4 linked regions of the Kluyveromyces lactis genome follow. Each later gene encodes a partner of the first gene's protein in a complex. Links are inferred from orthologs where the notes say so. Each region holds a gene or a part of one and is shown in the gene's direction. Other genes may lie near its edges.

What was found. Proteins that work in one complex are often made in the same cells at the same time.
Region 2: VAR1 (region 1) and RSM19 share a complex: the UniProt entries of both Saccharomyces cerevisiae proteins name them as parts of the mitochondrial small ribosomal subunit. The link is inferred for Kluyveromyces lactis from reciprocal best matches to the Saccharomyces cerevisiae genes VAR1 and RSM19.
Region 3: VAR1 (region 1) and MRP51 share a complex: the UniProt entries of both Saccharomyces cerevisiae proteins name them as parts of the mitochondrial small ribosomal subunit. The link is inferred for Kluyveromyces lactis from reciprocal best matches to the Saccharomyces cerevisiae genes VAR1 and MRP51.
Region 4: VAR1 (region 1) and NAM9 share a complex: the UniProt entries of both Saccharomyces cerevisiae proteins name them as parts of the mitochondrial small ribosomal subunit. The link is inferred for Kluyveromyces lactis from reciprocal best matches to the Saccharomyces cerevisiae genes VAR1 and NAM9.

The regions. Positions count from the first base shown.
Region 1 is NC_006077.1:34,749-40,090, reverse strand, and holds VAR1 (ribosomal small subunit protein), read left to right. Parts: upstream 1-2,285; coding exon 2,286-3,452; downstream 3,453-5,342. Other genes in the region: COX3 (cytochrome c oxidase subunit 3), read right to left, coding at 743-1,552; COX2 (cytochrome c oxidase subunit 2), read left to right, coding at 4,385-5,155. UniProt on the Saccharomyces cerevisiae protein: Component of the mitochondrial ribosome (mitoribosome), a dedicated translation machinery responsible for the synthesis of mitochondrial genome-encoded proteins, including at least some of the essential transmembrane subunits of the mitochondrial respiratory chain.
Region 2 is NC_006042.1:665,068-669,841, forward strand, and holds RSM19 (mitochondrial 37S ribosomal protein uS19m), read left to right. Parts: upstream 1-3,062; coding exon 3,063-3,338; downstream 3,339-4,774. Other genes in the region: SRB8 (Srb8p), read right to left, coding at 1-571; putative ATP-dependent RNA helicase DBP6, read right to left, coding at 903-2,795; type 2C protein phosphatase PTC6, read right to left, coding at 3,634-4,774. UniProt on the Saccharomyces cerevisiae protein: Component of the mitochondrial ribosome (mitoribosome), a dedicated translation machinery responsible for the synthesis of mitochondrial genome-encoded proteins, including at least some of the essential transmembrane subunits of the mitochondrial respiratory chain.
Region 3 is NC_006042.1:87,716-93,245, reverse strand, and holds MRP51 (mitochondrial 37S ribosomal protein bS1m), read left to right. Parts: upstream 1-3,035; coding exon 3,036-4,094; downstream 4,095-5,530. Other genes in the region: KLLA0_F01012g (uncharacterized protein), read left to right, coding at 804-2,474; imidazoleglycerol-phosphate dehydratase HIS3, read right to left, coding at 4,319-4,984; MRM1 (Mrm1p), read left to right, coding at 5,349-5,530. UniProt on the Saccharomyces cerevisiae protein: Component of the mitochondrial ribosome (mitoribosome), a dedicated translation machinery responsible for the synthesis of mitochondrial genome-encoded proteins, including at least some of the essential transmembrane subunits of the mitochondrial respiratory chain.
Region 4 is NC_006037.1:1,005,684-1,011,557, reverse strand, and holds NAM9 (mitochondrial 37S ribosomal protein uS4m), read left to right. Parts: upstream 1-2,989; coding exon 2,990-4,438; downstream 4,439-5,874. Other genes in the region: peptidylprolyl isomerase FPR1, read left to right, coding at 747-1,091; EAF7 (Eaf7p), read right to left, coding at 1,390-2,598; SRV2 (adenylate cyclase-binding protein), read right to left, coding at 4,645-5,874. UniProt on the Saccharomyces cerevisiae protein: Component of the mitochondrial ribosome (mitoribosome), a dedicated translation machinery responsible for the synthesis of mitochondrial genome-encoded proteins, including at least some of the essential transmembrane subunits of the mitochondrial respiratory chain.

The DNA.
Region 1 (5,342 bases):
ATCCAGATTCCTTATAAAACTAACTTCATTTGTTAAGATATAAAGAAGAATATAAAACATAAAAAAAAACAACAAAACAAAAATAAAGAGAAAATATTACAGAATAAATAATTAGGTAGCATCTGTGTAAGATAGTCTAAAGGGAGATAATGAAATATAAAGAATAGTTAATGAATAAATATATATAGGAAAATAAAATTTAATAACAATAATAAAATAAAAAGAAAAGAATAATCAATATTAACAAAAAGAGAGCGAGGAAAAAGATATATAACGATTATAAATAAAAAACTAGTGTCTTATTCTTAGAGTTAAGTACCACTTCGGATATGAGGGATAATAAGAGGAGGGGGGGGGTTTTTTTTTTTTTTCACCCTCCCCCCCCCCCCCAAAAAAAAAAAAAATGATAGTACGCTACGAACTATTTTTTTAAAAAAAAAAAAAAATCCCCCCCCTCCCCCCTGATGACATTGGGCTTGTACTTCATATTATTAATAGTCGTCATAATAAATAAATATATCTAGGACACATTATAATATATTTGACGGGGGGCTTTTTAGGATATACTTGGGGGGGTGCCACGGGTAGTTCTAATTCCCCGGCAATCCTATTTAGGATTGCCGCGGGCAATACTTATAATAGTATTATATTAATATTATATTATATATTTATTTATATATTTAATATAAAAAAGGTAAGAATATTATTGTTTAAAGATATTCTTATATATTGTACTGATGAGTTATACACCTCATCAGTAGAATACAATATATAAGAATAATCAAATGATATCTAAAATATGGCAGTACAACACTGTTGTTTCATAACCTACATGATGAGTAGCTGTTAAATGATAGTTTCTTAATCTTCAATAATTAATACCTAACATTGCTGCTAACATAACCATATGTAAGAAATGTAATCCTGTACCAGCATAGAATACTGATCCATATACACCATCAGTAATTGTGAAAGTAGCATTAGTATATTCGATATATTGACAAGTAACAAAAATAACAATTAATCAGAATGTAATTAATAATCCTGATAATGCATTTTTTCTATTACCACCTACTAATCCATGATGACTATATGTAATAGTAGCACCTGAAGATAATAAGATAATAGTATTTAATAAAGGTAATTCTGTAGGTTGTACAGCTTGAATACCAACTGGAGGTCATACACCACCTAATTCAATATTAGGGCTCATAGCTGAATGGAAATAAGCTCAGAATAATGCAGCGAAAATTAAAATTTCTGATACTACGAATAATAAGAAACCTAAATTAATACCTTTTCTAACAGCAATTGTATGATCTCCTAAATATGTTGCTTCAGCAATAATATCTCTAAATCATAATGTAGCACTTAATGTTACTGTTAAAATTGATAAATAAATTAAATACATATGTCCAATATATCCATGCATAGTTAAAGCTAATGATAATGCTAATGACATTAATGCAAATGATACTACAATTGGTCATGGTGATGGAGCTACTAAATGAAAGGGAAATTGTTGATGTCTACTTCTTTCTAAATGTGTCATAAATATTTTTATAATCTATACATTTATAAATTTAAATGTTAATTTAATTTATAGAAATAATATTACTTAATATATATATATAATATATATATATATGATAATATTTATATTTTAATATAATTATTATTATATTATACTTACTTATAAACCCCATTGCGGACTCCCCCCCCCCCGAAGGGAGGAGTCCGCAATGGGGAAAAGTTAATTATGAAAACTATTTATATATAGTATATTATTAGTAATATTAAATATATATCTAGTATCGCCAAATACCCCTATAATAGGGGTATTTGGCGATTAATAATTATATTATTATATATAATAGATCTATATAAATAAATACAATTCCCCGGACGCCTCGTCCGACCCTACGGTCGGACGATGGCGTCCGGGGTTTATATATCGATTCCCCCCAATCTCATAATATGAGATTGGGGGGGGGGGAAATAAAATAGATTATCTCTTTAATAATAATTATAAATAGAATATATTATCTTACCCCGCGGATCCTCTACTGGTATTACCAGTAGAGGATCCGCGGGAATTTATCTCTTTCCCGCGATATCATCATATGATGATATCGCGGAATATACATAATTTATAAAATATATAATAAATATTTTATTTTATATTTATAAGTAGTAAATATAATAAACATGTTAAATTTTTTAATAATTTAATAATAATATATATATAGTTTTATATATATATATTATACGATCAATATATATAAATAAATATAAATACAATGAATAAACATACAACAAATTTAAATATTATTAAAAATATTAATAATATAAACAATTTAAATTCTATAAAAGAATTATTATTATTATTAAATAATAAAAGATTAAATAGATCTTTAAATAAAACTTATATTTGAGATTATTTAAATGAATTAAGTAATAAAGGTGTAAAATTACAACATTTAAATAATATTAATTCTTGATCATCTCAAATTTATAAATTTAATAAAACTGAAGAAATTAATAATACTATTTATGATAGATTAGTAACTAAATTATTAACAAAATTATTAGTATTAAATATTAATAATAAAATTTATAAATTAATTATTTCTAAACCTATCTTTGAACATAGTATTAATAAAGTTAATATTAAATTTTTCTATTATTTATCATATAAAAATATTAATAAAAATATTAATAATAACAATAATTTAATTAATAATATTTATAGTAATTATAAATTTAATATTAATAGTAAATTAATTAATTTATTAAATAATAACATTAATAGTATTAGTAATATTTTATCATTATATTATAATAAAGATGTATCATTTGAACCTATTCAATTAAAATATAATTATATGAATAGTGATATTTTAGCTAAATCATTAAAAATTATGAATTCATCTTCTAAAAGAAGTTTATCAATGAATAGAATTAAAAATTTAATGAATAATATGCCTAAATTAAATGATAAATTAATTAGTCAAACATATATTAATAATATTAATAATATTATGTTTAATAAATATAATAATATTATTAAATCAATTAATAATAATAATAATAATAACCCCGCGGACTCCTCTCCTGGTAATCCCAGGGGAGGAGCCGCGGGGAAATTATATAATATTATTTATGAAAATAATAATATTAATACTATCCCTAATAATATTTTAATGTTTAAATATTTAGTAGGATGATCAATTCAATTAAAAGGTAGATTATCTAATAATAAATCTATTTCTAGATCTAATACAATGAATATTTTAAATGGTACATTCCAAAACTATAAATATATTTGAGGTAATCAAATGGTTAATAATTATAAATTAAATTATATCCCTGTTAACCATAATATTACTAATATTTCTGATGTTAATAAAAATGGTAAATATAATATTAAAGTTAAATTAAATACTATTTAATTTATTAATTAATAATAATAAATAAATAATCAATATTCTTCCCCCACGCGGCATTACCCTAGGGTAATGCCGCGTGGGGCTTCTTTCTTTATATTATAATTATATAATTATATAATATATAATAAATTAATATATACATATAATCCCCCCTTCATATTATATGAAGGGGGGGGTAAAAATATAAATATTTTATAATATATAATAAATTAATATATATCTTTCCCGCGTTCTCCTTACTATTTCCTTAAGGACCTCTAAATACTAATAAAAATTAATTTTATATTATTAATTTTATATATAAATAAATATATAATATACATTTTCCCGCGGGGTATAATACTTATTATTAGTATTAATAATTTATTTATTTATTTATTTATTTATTTATTAATTTATTTATAATACTTTTCCCGCGGACTTATTCCCTGGAATTCCAGGGAATAAGCCGCGGGGTGTATAAATAATTTTATATACTCTTCTCCCGGGGACTCCTTCCCATAAGGTGTATACCTGGGAAGAGTCCCCGGAGTTAATATAATTAATAAACCCCACCCCCTTTAAGGGGGGTGGGGAGGAATACGCAATTGGGGGAATTTATAATAATTATTATATAATATTATTATATAGATATAAGTAAGTATAATATTATTATAATAATAATAATAGAGATTAGCTTAATTGGCAGAGCATTCGTTTTACACGCGAAGGACATGAGTTCAAATCTCGTATCTCTAATATATATTAAATATATCAATTAAAATATAAAAATTTAATAATAATATATCAATATACTTATTTAATATTATTATAATTATTTATAATAATTTATTATTAATAAGTTTTTTTCCTAATTGCGAACTCATCAAAACATTAGTTGGATGAGTTCGCGGGAGAATAATATATTAATCAATGTAATATCTAATATATAGAATATATATAGATTAAAAAAAATTATAAATATGTTTTATTTATTAAATTCAATTATTATGAATGATGTACCTACACCTTATGGTATGTATTTCCAAGATTCAGCTACACCTAATCAAGAAGGTATTTTAGAATTACATGATAATATTATGTTCTATTTATTTATTATTTTAGGATTAGTATCATGATTATTATTTACAATTGTAAGAACTTATAGTAAAAATCCTATTGCTTATAAATATATTAAACATGGTCAAACTATTGAAATTATTTGAACAATTTTCCCTGCTGTAATTTTATTAATTATTGCTTTCCCTTCATTCATTTTATTATATTTATGTGATGAAGTTATTTCTCCAGCAATGACTATTAAAGCTATTGGTTTACAATGATATTGAAAATATGAATACTCAGATTTCATTAATGATAATGGTGAAACAGTAGAATTTGAATCATATGTTATTCCTGAAGATTTATTAGAAGATGGTCAATTAAGATTATTAGATACTGATACTTCAGTAGTAGTACCTGTTGATACACATATTAGATTTGTTGTTACAGCAGCTGATGTTATTCATGATTTTGCTGTACCTAGTTTAGGTATTAAAATTGATGCAGCTCCTGGTAGATTAAATCAAGTATCAGCTTTAATTCAAAGAGAAGGTGTATTCTATGGACAATGTTCAGAAATTTGTGGACAATCACATTCAGCTATGCCTATTAAAATTGAAGCAGTTTCATTACCAGCATTCTTAGAATGATTAAATGAACAATAATTATATAATTTATAATTAATAAATTATATATAATAATATTCTTTCCCTGCAAACCCTACAATATTATTAGGGGTTTCCCCACGGTCACCTTCCCGACCCACAAGGAGACGGGGATTCTTACTTATTTTATATCCCGCGGATTCATGTTATGAATCCGCGGAATTATTATATTATATTATATTATATT
Region 2 (4,774 bases), on another chromosome or scaffold:
TGGCTTTTGAGATCATTCCTTTCCATTCAATAGCATAGCAACTTTTGATTAGCCATATGACACGATATATTGGAACGAATTGTGTGTAGCATTGTTCCAAAATGTGCCTTTTCCTAAATCCATGAGGAACAGATTTAGTTAATTTCCGCAATGATGTGTTCGATGAGCTTAATTCCTGAAGCCACAGATTCCTCTTTTGATCTGTAAGCGTGACTCTGTTAGGCAAATGAAAATCTTGACCGGACCATTTAGTGAACCTTGTACTGTCTTCTATGTCCAGTGTACTTATCCTATTAATTTCTTGTTCTCGTATCTCAATAATCTTGGATAATTCATCTCCTAACAATGAGGAAACTTTGGGAAGTGATCCTTGTAAAGCTGAACGAGCAGAAATGGTTTCAAAGTTTACCCTAGAAGCAGTATAGTAGCCTTTTGCCACGAACTCTTTAAGTATCTTATCCTCCTCTTTGGTGTGAATCCACGGATCAAAATCAGGATAGATTTGTGGGTTGGAGTCGGTGAGCGGATGTAATTCCTCCGGAGGAGTTAGTAAATATTTTGACGGTGACATCAGAAGTATCTAGCGGTTATTCTCTGACTACTTATATGTGTTAACAAGCACTAGTTAAGACAGTTTAACCTGCCTAAGGTACTTTGAAGGTTTATAGTGTTTCAGTGATTCTGAACGATCAATCACATATCAATTTAAGGTAAAGAAAGTTCTAAAGTGGAGGAAAAACACTGCTCGAACAATAAATAACATGTCACATGATCAACTCATCAGAAGAGGCAAAATAGATAGTAAGTATAAGATCATTAGTGCCTTCTCAAATATCACTTAGACGAGCCCCAAGAATGGGGTACAGTTACTATGATCTTTTTACTTATTTAGTGATAATATGCTATTTACTGTCTGCTTCTTTGCTGGTTTGGAGTTGTTTGATACAACCCTTGTACGTATCCTTCAAAGTGTCTTCAATAGAGAATAATTCAGACAACTTTTCTTCGTCAAGGTAAGCAGATGGTTGATAACCATCAATGTCACGACTGAGGTCAGTGTCAATATGTTGTGACCAGAATTTCTGTTCACCCTTACCAACTAGAAGGTTAATTGCTATACCCTCAGTATTAGCCCTTGCAGTTCTACCACAACGATGAACATATTGTTGAGAGGAGATCGGTAGATCATAGTTTATCACATGAGTAATTTCATTTATATCGATACCTCTAGCCATTATGTCCGTTGAAATTAAAACTGATTTCTTTTGTTCTGAGGATGCAAATTCCTGTATTAGTTTTCTGCTACTACCCTTCGAGATGTTCGAATGAATTGATGAAAGGAACATATTATACTCATCTTCAATTATTCCTGATCCTAACATGGCATGTAATAAGCTTTCTAATCTGATCGAAGCTTCGTTACTCTTCACAAACACTAATATTTTAGCGTTTCTCGAAGCACTGCTCTTGATGTCGTGTATTATTCTTAGTAAGAGTAGTGGCTTGAACAGACTCTTAGCAGTAGGAATATTGACATTGAGTTCTTGCAATTTCTTAGGTATTGAATATAATTTAACAGAATCTGTGAGGAAGATCTTGGGGTTGTGGAGATACAAATTGTACAACTTTTCTGCATTCGTAGTCAAAGTAGCAGAAAAGACCATTTTGATTACGTTTCCTGGACGTTTATCCTGCTTATCGTTTGTCAAATGGTGGAAAAGCACTTGGTTCCAATTTTGGAATGACTGATTTAATAGTCGGTCTGCTTCATCAAGGACTAAGAACTTCAAAGTTTTTAGGTCAAATGATTCCATCTGCAAGTGATCGACCAGTCTGCCCGGAGTGATGATTAGAATGTCTGGAGAGTTATACAAAAATTTGTTGTGTTCTTCTTTCAAGGAGTTCTCGAGTTTCGACATTGATACATTGAGACTGGTCCCTTGACTTAGTTTAGAGAGACAATCGTAGACTTGATGAATTAAAATTTTAGTAGGAACCAAAATTATTGCCCTAACTTTATTCACTGTTCTAGATCTCAAAATTTGAACCAAAGGGACAGAATATGCTAAGGTCTTACCGGAACCAGTTGATGCGTTTACTAATATATCACCAACTCGTCTTGTGAAAAGTTTTCTGTTTGCTTTAAAAGATGAGTTTAGAAGCGGGAGCACTTTATCGAATAGAATGGTCTGAATAGGGAACGTTTCAGATGAGAAATTGGAGGTAATATTTTTAAGCAGACGTGCATCTAATTCACCTTCGTAGCTATCGAATTGTTTAACCATTTTACTATCGTAATGAATTTTGGTTGCTGCATCCCACGCAGTGGATTTATATGTAGACGGATCTAGAAGCTTCAAGGCTTCATTGGTCACTTTGGCCGGTTGAGGAATTGGGGTAAGACTGTGAACATCTTTCATGGATACGTCCTCATCGTGTACATCGTTGTCACTACTGACCTTGTCTGAAGCGCTCAACGCACCTTGCAGGGAAAGAGTCTGTTGAAATCTATTTAATACGGAACTGTGCTTTGCATCAACTGATTGCTGAGAAGTTTCTGTAGGCGCAACAGATGCAACCTTGTTTTCATCTTGCTCACTAATTGTATCGGAATCATCCTCACTGCTGGAAGCATCATCCTCACTGCTGGAAGCATCGTCCTCACCAGAGCCTTCATCATCAGTTTCCGCATCTCTTTTCCTCTTTTGGGGCACAGTGGGTTCTTTTATTTGTGTGACTTCAGCTGTTAGTACATTTTCAGTCACCTTAGTAGGATCAAACCTTGCAGCAAACATGTTATTGACTGGATGCTATCGTTATGCTGTCGCTATGCTGTTACTGACCTTCTAAATTCCTGAAGCTCATCGCATCATATTACATCTCATCGCCATTCGTCTATTATTTTATTTCAGAACGGAATTCATAAAAAATTTCAATCTGTAAAACTTGAAATAACGACAAGATATAATAGAGTTAAGTCACTACCATGATATCAGTCAGCCAAAGGTTCCAGCAGTTAGACAAATATCTCGCGTCTACGATAACACTCATAACGTCATAAAATGTTCCCGTCATTGAGATTACTATCACGTTCTGTATGGAAAGGTCCAAATATAGTCCCATTACCAATAAAAGAAGCATTGGCCAAAGGTACGCCCATTAGAACAAATGCCAGATCTGCCACCATATTACCTCAATTTGTCGGACTGAAATTCCAAGTGCATAATGGTAAGGAGTATGTCGCGTTTGAAGTGACAGAAGATATGGTAGGAAGTAAGCTAGGAGAATTCGTACCAACAAGAAAGAGATTCAGTTATACTCAAACTAAGAACAAATGATTTGACATTTATGAAAAGCACAAAGTTAGTCAGACAGCAGCATGTATATAAAATCACACCTGGAAGTTCATGTACCACCGTGTACTCCATACGTAACTGTATCTATTACTAAGAAATGATTTATTGAACAAGTGCTCTCGATTAATTGGGAGTTAATGGTGTTTCTCATTGTTAAATAGATGCAAATGTTAATCATAACGAGTACTATATATAATAATTGAAGTAAAATAGAATATACACTCTTTACTTGAGGTTTCTTTTGAATTTAATTTATGATTAAGTTTGTGGACTTTTTTCAACCACTAGATCTTTCTCCACCGGATACACCACTTAGTAGCTTTTCCTCTCTAATCGCACCAGTGCGATCAATGACAGGCCAATTTCCCCAGTTCGGTAACCGCAGAATTACGCAAGTAGCATTATCAGAATGTTTAGAGCTAATAGCCATAACATATTGTAAAACTTCCTGAGCACAGAAGTGTGGAGAAGCAGTTTTCAAACCTCTATTGTTCACTGTGGAGGTGATGAGATCACAGAGTTCTTGATCGCTCATCAATTCAGTTACTCCGTCTGTCACTAAACATAAGAAACATTCATCACCACCGAACTGCAATTTTGATCTTTCAGCATGTGGTAACATTTTGGTTGGTCCAATGAGGTACGAATAAATGTCCGGCTCGCACGTTAGACCATCACGTTTTCCGATCCGATCGCCAAAGGATCGTGTATTTGCAAAATTGTTCAAAAATCTAGTATCACCGAAGGAGTCAGTTTGGAATTGACCTCCAAGTCTTCTGGACTCTCTACTTGATGAAGGATGATGAACTTTAGCCAAAGAATGAGCAATACCATTCTTGTCACAAAGTATAATTTTAGTGTCACCGATTTGAGTTACAGCCAGTTTTAGTAAGCCCTGTGGTGCAATGAAAAATGATTCATCGTAACATTCTTCTTCATTATAAGAGGTTAAAAAAAGGCTTGAAGCAGTCGAGCCACCAGTGAATATTTTCATTGCTTCTTCTGGTTCTAAATCCGAAGAAAATCCACATATTTCATTTAAGTCATAATTGAGGTAGGATATGTACAAACGTAAACGTTCGTATTCACTCAACAAGCTTGTCTTGTCAATAATGTTTCCCCATTTGTCAAAGATCATTCTTGCCCCATTTTTTGGCGCTACACCGTCCGTGAGTAGGACTTGCTCCACTTTAGTGTTACATTTTTTGATATACCTCTCATAGTACTCCTTTCTACCTTTGTATATCCTCGACCAGTACTTCCCCCCCACTAAGTCCTGATATTTTTTTAATACAGCGTCAAACTCTTGTCTGATGGGGACCATAGCTGTTATATGATCGTGCAAACCTGAAGCCAGCATCTTAGAGACACGATCTCCTCCATGACCGTCAAATATAGAAATATTCAAAACGTTTCTC
Region 3 (5,530 bases), on another chromosome or scaffold:
CAAAATAATTTAACCTGTCTGTAAACAGTACAAAGGATGGAACTGAACAAAAGTAACTACTAAAACGTATCTCTTCCTTCAATTCAATTTTTTTTTCTGTATTATATTCCTTCTTTTCTTTCCCAGTTAAAATACTCATTTCTTTTTCACAAATTTTCACGCTTTTTGGGCTCTGCGTTTTAATGTGCGAAAAATTTTTCCTTTCCCTCATTATTCTAGATGCATTTTTGTTTAGTTCTCTGTATGTAACGTGCCTGGGAGTTAGTCATGTTTAACGATTAGAAGATCGGCTTACATTGCAGGTTATTCCAGGTTAACGTATTTTTAATTAGATTGTGAAGAAGGATCAGTTGGCTATTGTATTTTTCTCTGAGCGGGTATCTCTGAGAGTTGAACAACACATTGTAGACTTTGTATCATTTACGTATTAAACTTTCATATCAGGCAAACAGCGTTTCTGACGTGCGACAGTTTTTTTTCAAGCTTTAAGAGAAAAAAAAGTGTTGTGATATGTCAAAGAGTATTCAGGAAATGGTGCATTTCAACAGGTTTCAATTGAGTTTATGGTATTAGATCAGCTCTGTAATGCTAAAAAATTCAGAAATTGTGTTAGAAGGAGTTTCATAACGGATATGGATGATTAAATCTGCCAGGAGCGGGGTGCGTGTCAGATTTATCACTTCTTATATAAAAAAACTAGCTTTCGAGGATGCGTCCTGTTCCCTGCTACTCTCCACTTCATCCTGAGTAATAGACATTCATCAATCACAGCACTAATTCGCTGAACAGTCAATTATTAAAAAATGACTGAAGAATGTTTAAAAGAAGTTGCAACTTTTTCCAACCTCTCAGATCCCACAAGAACGAACAGTATCGATACTACAGCTGATGTTACTCTTCCCAAAAATGAGTTAAAACAGTCAATTAAACCGTTTCATGTTTTCATGATGTCTACTGCAACAGGTATTGGGACCGGTTTATTAGTGGGGAACGGTAGATCAATTGCTATTGCGGGGGTTGGTGGTACTTTAGTTGGTTACTTAATTATTGGTATTATGTTGACATGTTGCATGCAAACTGTTGGTGAGCTTGTTGTTGCTTTTCCAAGTATGCCTGGTGGGTTTACATCTTATGGAAAGCGTTTCATAGACCCGTCTGTGGGCTTTACCATTTCTTGGTTATTTTTTCTAAATTGGACTGTCGTTTTGCCATTAGAAATATGTGTCGCTTCTATGACTATCAACTTTTGGAACGAAAATATCAATCCTTCTATCGTTGTTGCATTATGTTATTCCTTGGTATGCGGGGTGAATTTCTTTGGTGCAAGGTGTTATGCGGACGCTGATTGCATTTTCAACTGTTTGAAAGTGCTTATGATCCTTGGGTTCATAATTTTAGGTATTTTCGTTAACACTGGTGTTGTCGGCACTAGCGGATATTTGGGTTTCAAATATTTCCATAGTCCAGGGTTCTTTAGAAACGATGAGGGGCTTTTCAAGTCAATTGCTGCAACGTTGATAACTGCCTGCTTTAGTACCGGTGGTACCGAGTTTGTCGCCTTGAGTTGTGCTGAACAGAATACAGAAGACATGCCAAGAAGTATTAAAAGGGCGTCAATACAAGTTGTTGTACGAATTGCCATCATTTTTTGCGTTTCTTTGATGATTATTGGATTATTAGTGCCCTTTAATTCCCCATATTTGATGGGGTCTGGATCAGAACTGACCCATGCATCTCCATATGTGGTCGCATTAACAACCAATGGTGTTAGGATAATACCTCATATTGTTAATGCAATTATTCTATTGTCTATTATTTCTGTCGCAAACAATGCGATGTATAGTAGCTCAAGAACATTACATTCCTTAGCTGAACAAGGATTTGCGATGAAATATTTTTGTAAATTGGATGAAAGTGGTAAGCCGTTTAGATGTCTTTGCGTTTCAGCATTTACTGGTTTATTTTCATTCATAGCCGAATATAAGGACCAGGAAACAGTCTTCGTTTGGTTATTGTCAATCAGCGGTCTTTCCACTATCTTTACTTGGAGTATGACCTGTGTGTCTCATTTGAGATTCAGAAAGGCAATGAAAGATCAAGATCAAGCTTTAGACCAATTAGGATATCAATCACCATGTGGTGTATATGGCAGTTACATCTCGTTGTTTATTTGTGCCATTATTTTGATAGTACAATTTTGGGTATCATTGTTTCCTTTAGAATCCAACGGTAGGCTGAATGTCGTCTCATTCCTTCAAAATTATATGGCTGTTCCAATTACCATCGTACTTTACCTTGGTCATAAAGCTTACACAGGGAACTGGAAACCTTTTATTAGAGCACCTGAGATTGACATTCAGACCGATCGTGACATCTACTGTGTTGATGAGGTTACTGGAAAAAAATCAGTTTTTGTTGAGCTTCTGGATAGCGGAGACATGTGCTCGAAACTATCTGATAACCTTGTCAAGTAGTACAAACATTTCTACGAAACTGAGGTTCTCATACAGTATCGACTAAACCAAGGAACTGTTGATATGAAATTATTACGAAAAAATGAATAGTTTTCTGTAGTAAACAATATAATAAATAATGCAATTGAAAAAAAAATTTAAACTCAACACCGATTTCTGATTATGGGAAACCCCTCATAGAAGACTTATGTTATACTGGTGCTGATCTCGTTTTAAATATTAGCATCACTTAAGAAACCATTCTTCCTTTAAAATGAGTACTAAATGTGACACTTTCATCAATGGTCTGTCGCAAGTCCGGGTAAAATGTTACGTTTCTAATGATAAAAAAATTTCGATATCATTGAATAGCATTCAATTCGATAAATCTTAAACACAGCTCAGCTACTGATTTTGACTGAAGAGCTAAATTAGTTCCTATCGTCGACTATTGTGACAAGGTTCCAAAACTATCAGCAATTCGTTGAATAGATAATTCACTTTTTGGGTTTAAACTGGGCTGTTAGTCCTTAGCTTGAAGACAGATATACTTACTGAATTCACAATTCGAAATAGAAAGCTATGTCCCATATATCTAATTTGTTAAAAAATTCCAGGATAGCACAAGTGGCAAAGACGGACAAGCCATTGTTTCGTCCAGGTAACTCTTCTCATCCAACTCATCAAGTGATTGAGACCAAGCCATCCTCCTTATATCGTCAGGAATGGGGTTTGAAGGCAAGCATTCCATCGAAAATCAAGACCAGATATTTGGTTTACAACGATTTGGACACCCAACAAAGACTAACGACTTTTGAACCAATGGGTCAATACCAGTGGAACAGAATCAGATTCCAAGAAATGGGGTTAGCCCCTCGTTACGTTGAAGAAGAATCCAATCCTCTATTCAATGGGAAAACCAAGAGGGCCGGAAAATACGCGCCATTCAGCAATGCTGTGAACATTGCTCATAACACTGCGCCTTCTGAAAAGACAAGAAAGTTGAAAGAAATTGACCAACACAGATCAGAATTCAAGAAGTGGCTGTTAGAGAAACACCCGGATTCCATTGCTGGTGTTAGAAATGAAAACACCAGACCTTTGAAGGCTTTAGCTACTGAATTCTTACATGAAAAGATGGGAAAGTTGAATATTAATACAGCAGCTAACTCGGAGTGGCACATTGTGGGCACCGGTGGTCTAACTTACAACTTGAAAGGTAGACTTAGACAATCTCCAAATGGTGTAAAACAAAAGCACGTTGTGCCAGGCAGAGTTTTATCTGTCCAGGGACCTGATCGCGCAGTCGCTGTTGGTGGTTTCATCGCTGAAGCTAAATCTGTGGGCCGTAATCCTCGTGCTCTACAATACAACATGGGTGATTTTGTCAGACAAGAAGTTTTACCATTTGCCATTGAAGATCCAAAGGTAGAAGGGGGTAATGTAACATTGTCTGCATCTTTAGTAGAACCAAGAAATGACTTCAGTTTTGCTCAGAAGATCGGCTTAGGTCAAAGCAGATCACATTATACCAGATCCGATTCCAGAAACTCTTCAAGAAAAACTGTAAGATCTGTCACCGCCGAAGAATCTAGATCTCAAAGTGAAGAGTTCCTAAACTTATTAAAGACAACCATGTAAGTTGATATATGGTAGGTATTACACAACCATAGCTAGAAGTCACTTGTAAATAAAACGTAATAAATACAGTCATGTTACGCGGAAGACGGAGCTGTGCGTCAAGCGGTTAAGGGCCGTGCTCGTAACTTAAATGGAACAAAATGGATGAATATATATTTGATGTAAACTTAAAATGAATGTCGCGCATATGCAATGAGAGTCCACTCCTTTCTTGAAAAGGAATTTTACATTAGAACACCCTTAGTAGAAGGAACGTCGTTGGTTCCGTTGCTTGAAATAGCCTCTTTGATTGCAATGGCAAGTGCTTTGAATGCAGATTCACTTCTGTGATGGTCGTTAAAGCCTCTCAAACAATCAACGTGCAAAGTTATTCTCGCGGCTTCAGCAAAGGACTCCAAGAAATGAGGTATCATCTCGCATGAAAGGTCACCGATCTTTTCCCTCTTCAACCCCAACTCTATTACTGCGTATGGTCTATTGGATAGATCCACAACAGCACGTGATAAAGCTTCGTCTAATGGTGCATATCCTGAACCAAATCTTTTCACACCACGAACATGACCCAAAGCTTCCTTAAAGGCTTGGCCAAGAGCAATACCACAATCCTCGGTGGTATGATGGTCATCGATATGCAAATCTCCAATACATTCAACAATCAAAGACCAGCCTGAATGCTTCGCAAGAGCATGAATCATGTGATCTAAAAACCCAACGCCTGTCTGAATATCAATGATTTGGGATCCAGTTACCTGCTTAGCAGCATCGGATTCCTCCCTTTGTAAAATAGAGTTCTCAATAGAAATTGGTCCACCATTCAATGAAATGGCAATTTGAATCTTGGTTTCATTCGTTATTCTAGAAACAAAAGCTTTTCTTTCCGGATAAGTCATTTTTGGTTGACAGTTCTTTCTCGAGGAATTCTTACAAAATGTGCCAAATATGAACGATGGTAGCAACTTTTAGGCTTCTTATAAGTACACAAACTAATGTTGAGGCCAGTTACTTTCTTTCTTCTTCCAATATACCTTTACGCTTCTGTCAATCTACTACGATAAAGAAATGAATCATCTTCTGGAATATTTTACAAATAAAGAAAAGCTTGAAACTTGACTTTCTGAAATTTTTCAGATTAAGCTATTTGATAACAAAAAATTGCCGAGATGAGATGAGCTGAGAGGCATGGAATAAAAGATACATTATCTGTTAACAAGAGCATAGCAGACTCAAATAAAGTAAAACCATTGGTAGTATAGCATGCTCAGAAACATCACAAGAAGTTATTCGAACAAGATTCGTTCTGCGGTCAAAGTGCCTAACGAATCGTATATTAAGGACAGAAAAGTAACGTTCGATCGGAACTTTCCAGTGCATAAGAGGACTAAGGCTTGGGAGAAAGATGGAATGGATAAAGATAAATGGTTCAGGAAAAATTACGC
Region 4 (5,874 bases), on another chromosome or scaffold:
TGTGAATTCACATCTACTCGACTACAAGTTGACCAGCACAATTAGGATCAACCTGCTTTTCCAGAAATGTTCTCTTCTAGACCCAGTAACCAAGAATTTGCTCACTTTCCCTTAACAGGTATCGAGGCGTTAATTCTAAATAAAGCAAATGAGGGCTGAATTACAAAGCACCATACCTCAAAGTTTTGAAAACCTGGCTCTTGCTATAGTTATTCACCTTTTAATTATCAAGCAATTATAAATCTCAAACACTTCTGGACATACAGATGCGGACAGAGCATAATAGCAAATGAGATATTTCGTAGGATATTCGATGTAGTACGGCTTAGTGACGTCGGTTGTTGTTCAGGAATGTACAATTTCAGGTGATTTAAAAACCCTATGCTAAAAGGTTCGATGATCTTTATTTGAACTGACCTGAATGTTGGCTGTGCTGCCGTTGCGTCTGCTCAAACCTCTTACAGGCATGTTTCCGCGAAAAGTGATTGCTTAAGTAAGAAAGAAAGAATGCAGTCACGTGACAAATGCTGAAAGTCTTGAAGTCATTAAATACGTTACCACTGCTTCTAGAAATCATTATCGTTCAGAAAACAAAAAGTTTTCATTTCTATAATAAGGATTCCTACATTCTACACGAAACTGTTGCAATTACGAGGCCAATTGAGTGCTATTTTGTGTCAGTTTAATCCGTTATTGTATTGCAGTTTTAAAATAACTCAGCTATCACACATCAAACAGCAGAAACAATGTCCGAAACAATTGAAGGTAACGTTCAAATTCTAAGATTATCACCAGGTGACAGTACCAACTTCCCAAAACCAGGCGATTTGGTAACAATCCATTACACTGGTACTTTGGAAAACGGTCAAAAGTTTGATTCTTCCGTTGATAGAGGTTCTCCATTCCAATGTAACATTGGTGTAGGTCAAGTTATCAAGGGTTGGGATGCTGCTATTCCAAAGTTGTCCGTTGGTGAAAAGGCAAGACTAACTATCCCAGGCCCATACGCTTATGGTCCACGTGGTTTCCCAGGTTTGATCCCACCAAATGCTACTTTAGTCTTTGATGTTGAATTGTTGAAGATTAACTAGATGTATAATGTCATTCTTCTGAATAAAACACATACTATTAATTTCCTTCACATTTTTTCTTTGGTTTCTCCCTTGATTCCTTCCAATTGGTCCCATCCATTATTATTATTATAGCTTTACATCTTTCCGTACCTTCTCATCAACCTTTCAACATGGGAATTGCTATCAAATTGTAGCCGTAGTGTTTGTATGCTTCCATTTTAACATTCAATTTTTGTACATCAACGAAATGCCTATAATATAAACCATTAGCTATATTATGTTGTTATTGCATTATTGAAAAAACAATCAAGAACAACTACTTCCTGCTTCTAAGCCTGCTCGAGAGCCTTGTAGTTGGTTTTGTTATGGATTTTCTTCTTGTTCTCCTAGCTGGAGAATCCACGTCGGCAAGATCTTCAGGAACTTCCTCCGCAGCGGCAACTTTTTGTTTCTTAGGGCGCGGCTGTTGAGATGATTCCGTTTCGTTCTCTTCTGCTTTCCCTGTCGGCGAATTAGCTGATTCCTTGGCAGCACCTTCAGATTCATCAGCAAATGTGACTTGTTTTGTAGCTGTAGTATCTGCGGCATCAGCAGTCGATTCTTTTTCGCTACCAGATCTCCCTTCTGTATCGTGTTCGACATCTTCCTTTTCATCGGTGTTTCCGCCATGGGGTTGGTCTTCTTTGTTTTCACTTTCGTCATCAATGCCTCGCTTTTGTGAACGTGTCAACCTTGTAGAGCGTCTTGTCCTTGGTTTCTTATGAGCATCGACAGGTTCATCGACAGGTTCATTCGCCAGTTCGCTCACAGATTCTCCAACACTGACTGGCGGAGTGGTCGCCATTTCTTGTTTCGCCTGTACATTATTTTGCTCAGTATCCTTTTCATCGATATCCTTTTCTCGTTCCCGTGGCTCTTCTGACTCTTGTTCTACTTGCGTATCCTGTGATTCCGCACCCTTCAGTTTTGCCTTGTCATCCGCAGAAGCGGTCTCCTCTTGCTTAATATCTTCCACCTCATGATCCCTAGCATGTTCTAACATAAGTTCTCCATAATCTTCCCACGATAGTTCAAATTCCGTCTCTTGCTGGAGTCTATTTTGTAATGGTATTATATTTCTCTTAAGCTCGTCACAATTGTCAACATCATTGTCACTGTCATCATCATTATCTAGTTGAGCGTCCCCTTCTGTCTTTTTGTTTGTAGTTTCGGTTGGTCCGTCATCATTATAAAATTCAGGGTATGGCTGGTTCTCTACTTCATCTGCCTTCTCTAAATTATAGTACCGACTCAATTGTTCCCAAACGTCCTCCCCAGAAAACACTTTATCTGAGCTGCCTTTATCGCTTTGCAAAAGTTTGATTGGATACTGATCTGGCTTGTTCAATCGCTCAAGCAAACACACCATATGGAAGTGTTTATGTATTCCTGCAGGTTTGAACAGCATCATCCATTTAAACAGCCTTATTTCCTCCACTTTACTCCATGTTTGCCCTCTAGGTGATTCTATCTTTACAGCGGACATCGCAGTGAACCGTATCGTATTACTTTTATCTGAAGTATCACAACCTTATACACCAAAAGAACGTTCTTGCAATTGATATAATAAAGTTCCTATCAAGATCGCTGATAAAGCAGATCGTATGAGGCTTGATACCATCTTCGCCAGTCCATCTCAATATGGTTCTATGGTGTTTCTCATCTTTCTAAACTATGAATGCTAATATTTGATATCATATGTCACGAAATTCCTCTAAAAATTTTTCAATATCGGAAAGCTTCAAGCATTAGATAGCGTTTGATTGAAAAATATTATGCAGGTAGTTCGGATATGCAATGTATTTCCATTTCGAAGAGTCCGTAAGCAGTCAATTCTGGTTAGTTTTGTCAATACATTGTGAAGAAAAAGACCAGCAATGCCTAGGAAAGCTGTACTTCTGAACTCTTTGTCCAGAGGGAAGGTTCGTACCTCTTTTAACAAGTACAATTTGTTCAACTTGTATAAGAAATCTCAGGTCAGTTTTAGATCGAAAACACTATACCAACAGAAATGGACTTCTAAACAGGAAACTCGTGCCTACCATGGCGAACATTTAACAGAGAGTAGGTGGCAGTCTGTTTTCGAGCCTCAGCTAAACTCTGTGGCTCAATTAGATGCTTCTCTAAGGGGTGGTGATATCGAACCGACGCCCATTCTATTACAAACATACGCTGTACTAGAGAAAAGGCTAGACTTTGCTTTGTTTAGAGCTATGTTTGCCTCGTCAGTGAGACAAGCTCGTCAGTTTATTTTACATGGCAACGTCCATGTGAATGGTGTAAAGATTACTTCTCCGGGATATGCCTTGAAAGCTGGTGATGTTTTCAACGTCAGACCCGAAAAAGTGCTACAAGCTCTTGGTGCCAAGAAACCTAGCTTGAAGGAAGCTTTGAAAGTGGATAATACCCAAATTTTCCTATGGAACAAATATATTCTAGAGGCTAGAAAGAATCCTAGAAAGTTCTGGGATGAAAAGATCGAAAAACTAAGAACTATGGATAGTAACGATCCAAAGAAACAGGAATTTTTATCCTTCCTCGAAAACTACAACAAAACCATGCACATTCAAATGAGGAAAGAATTAGACCAAACCAGTAACGAGTATTTGTTAGCTAAGATCTTTTCTACCGTTAACCGCGTTAACGATGTAGAAAAATTGGCAGTAAAAGATTTCTTGGGCGAATTTTACAATAACGAAAATTTGGCAGCTAAAGGATTCGAAATTTATAGAGAAGTCAAGTCTGCCAAGGCTGTGGAAACGATAGCAGGGAAGCCTTTGGCTGAAATTCCTAATGAACAAGGTGAATTGCTAAAGGTGGCTACAGGAATAACTAAACCTGTTGATAACACAAACGATGCCTTAAAGAAAAAATTCAGAGCCATCAATCATACTATAGTTGATTTGAGACATTTCTATGAAACCGTGGTCAGAGAACATTATAATGACAAGATGGCATCCGTTGATTCTGTTGATATTCCATACGATGCTAAGTGGGCTGAAAAGTTACCATTGCATCAAAAGATCAATGTTCCTGAACTATTGGAAAACGAACCAGCTGCTCAAAAAGCTATCAATTTACCATGGCAAAAGGGTGTGTTTGGTCGTAACGATCCATCTAAACCATATTTCACTCCGTGGAAACCAAGACCCTTCTTAGCACCATTCGCCATTCTACCACACCATTTGGAAATATCATTCAAGACATGTCATGCGGTCTACTTAAGAGACCCTGTTGCACGTCCAGGTCAATCTGAAGTTATTACTCCATTCGGCTTACCTGTACATGAACGTTCATACATGTACTATGTGAGAAGGGGTAAATAAGTTGACGAAAACAAATACACACGAAAGAATGGATACACTGTGACTATGACAATTTAAAAAGAATGGTGTATCTTGGAAACCTTGTACATATTATTATCATTATTTTATCGTATCATATTATATTAATTATATATATATATTTATATGTTCTAATGAGTAAAGAATAAACTAACACCCAGTAACGAGAAGATATACTATTCAGATATTCAACCAGCATGTTCGTAAATCTTGGTTTGTAGTTTACCTTCGACGAAAGTGTGTATCATCTGTTCTGGAAGTGGAACTTCAACGAAGTCACCATCGGGACCAGTTGGAGTGTTGATGTTAATACCAGTGCTAGAAGAGGTGAAAATTTGAGCCTGTAAAGAGTTTTTACTCAAATAAATGGAGCCGCTATCAGACGCGTCGATGGTGATTTGTGGCAGGGTGTTTTCCACTTGAATACCAAATCTCAAACATTTAATAATATCCACACCACTGATGGAAGAATCTAGCACTAAACTGCATTTTTCTGTTTCATTGACAGTAACTGCGTTGACCTTACCTTTGATTTGTACCAATGTGTTGACACATTTACCGATGAAAACAGATTCGTCAATTTTAGTTTCGATCACTAACGGTTCGGCTTCATCTTCATAATTTTCAATAAACCATTTATTACCGATCAATTCCTTTCTTGGAGGCTTCTTAGTCTTCAGAGTAGATGGTTTCTTTGGTTTAGGTGGAGGAACAGCTTTGTCAGAAACCTTCCCTGAGGCACGAAGTTCTGGGTTCTTATGTGTTTGCTGAGACTTTTCTACTTTCTTTAAGGATTTAGTGATGTTTTCACCTTGGTTTAACTCAGCAAACACAGCACCGATTCCACCAGATTCTTGTTCTTTTGATTGTTCATTGACTTCGAATACGGAAGCCGGAGGAGGTGGAGGTGGAGGTGGAGGAGCTCCGGCGCCTGAACTATGCGGCTCACTGGAAGTAGCACCAGAAGAAGAAGCTCCGGATCCCTCGTTGGAAACTCTTTCGTATACGGTTTCGAAATCCTCACCAGTAGTGTCGTTCCAAGTCACACCTGTGGTATGGTATTCCTTAACGTACAGCTTCAAGCTATCGAAAACGGACAAAAATTGTTGGACCCATTCAACGGATTTAGGATCAGTGCTTCTGAATTCTTTCAAGATTCTATTTGTCCAAAACTGGGCAGCGTCCTTGAAATCAGTGATAGTAGACACAGGTGTAGATCCAGCAATCCATGAGAACAGTGGTGATCCCTCAGAGATAGCATTCAAATGAGCGAAATACTTACTGTTACGGTTCTCCTCTTTCAACTCACCAATAGAGAAGATGTTCTCGTTAATTGGGGTCAAACCTTTCACGAATGCAGATGACGAAAAGTCTGGCTTCTTTGATTGTACTGCTGCCTTTAAAAACACCAACTGAGC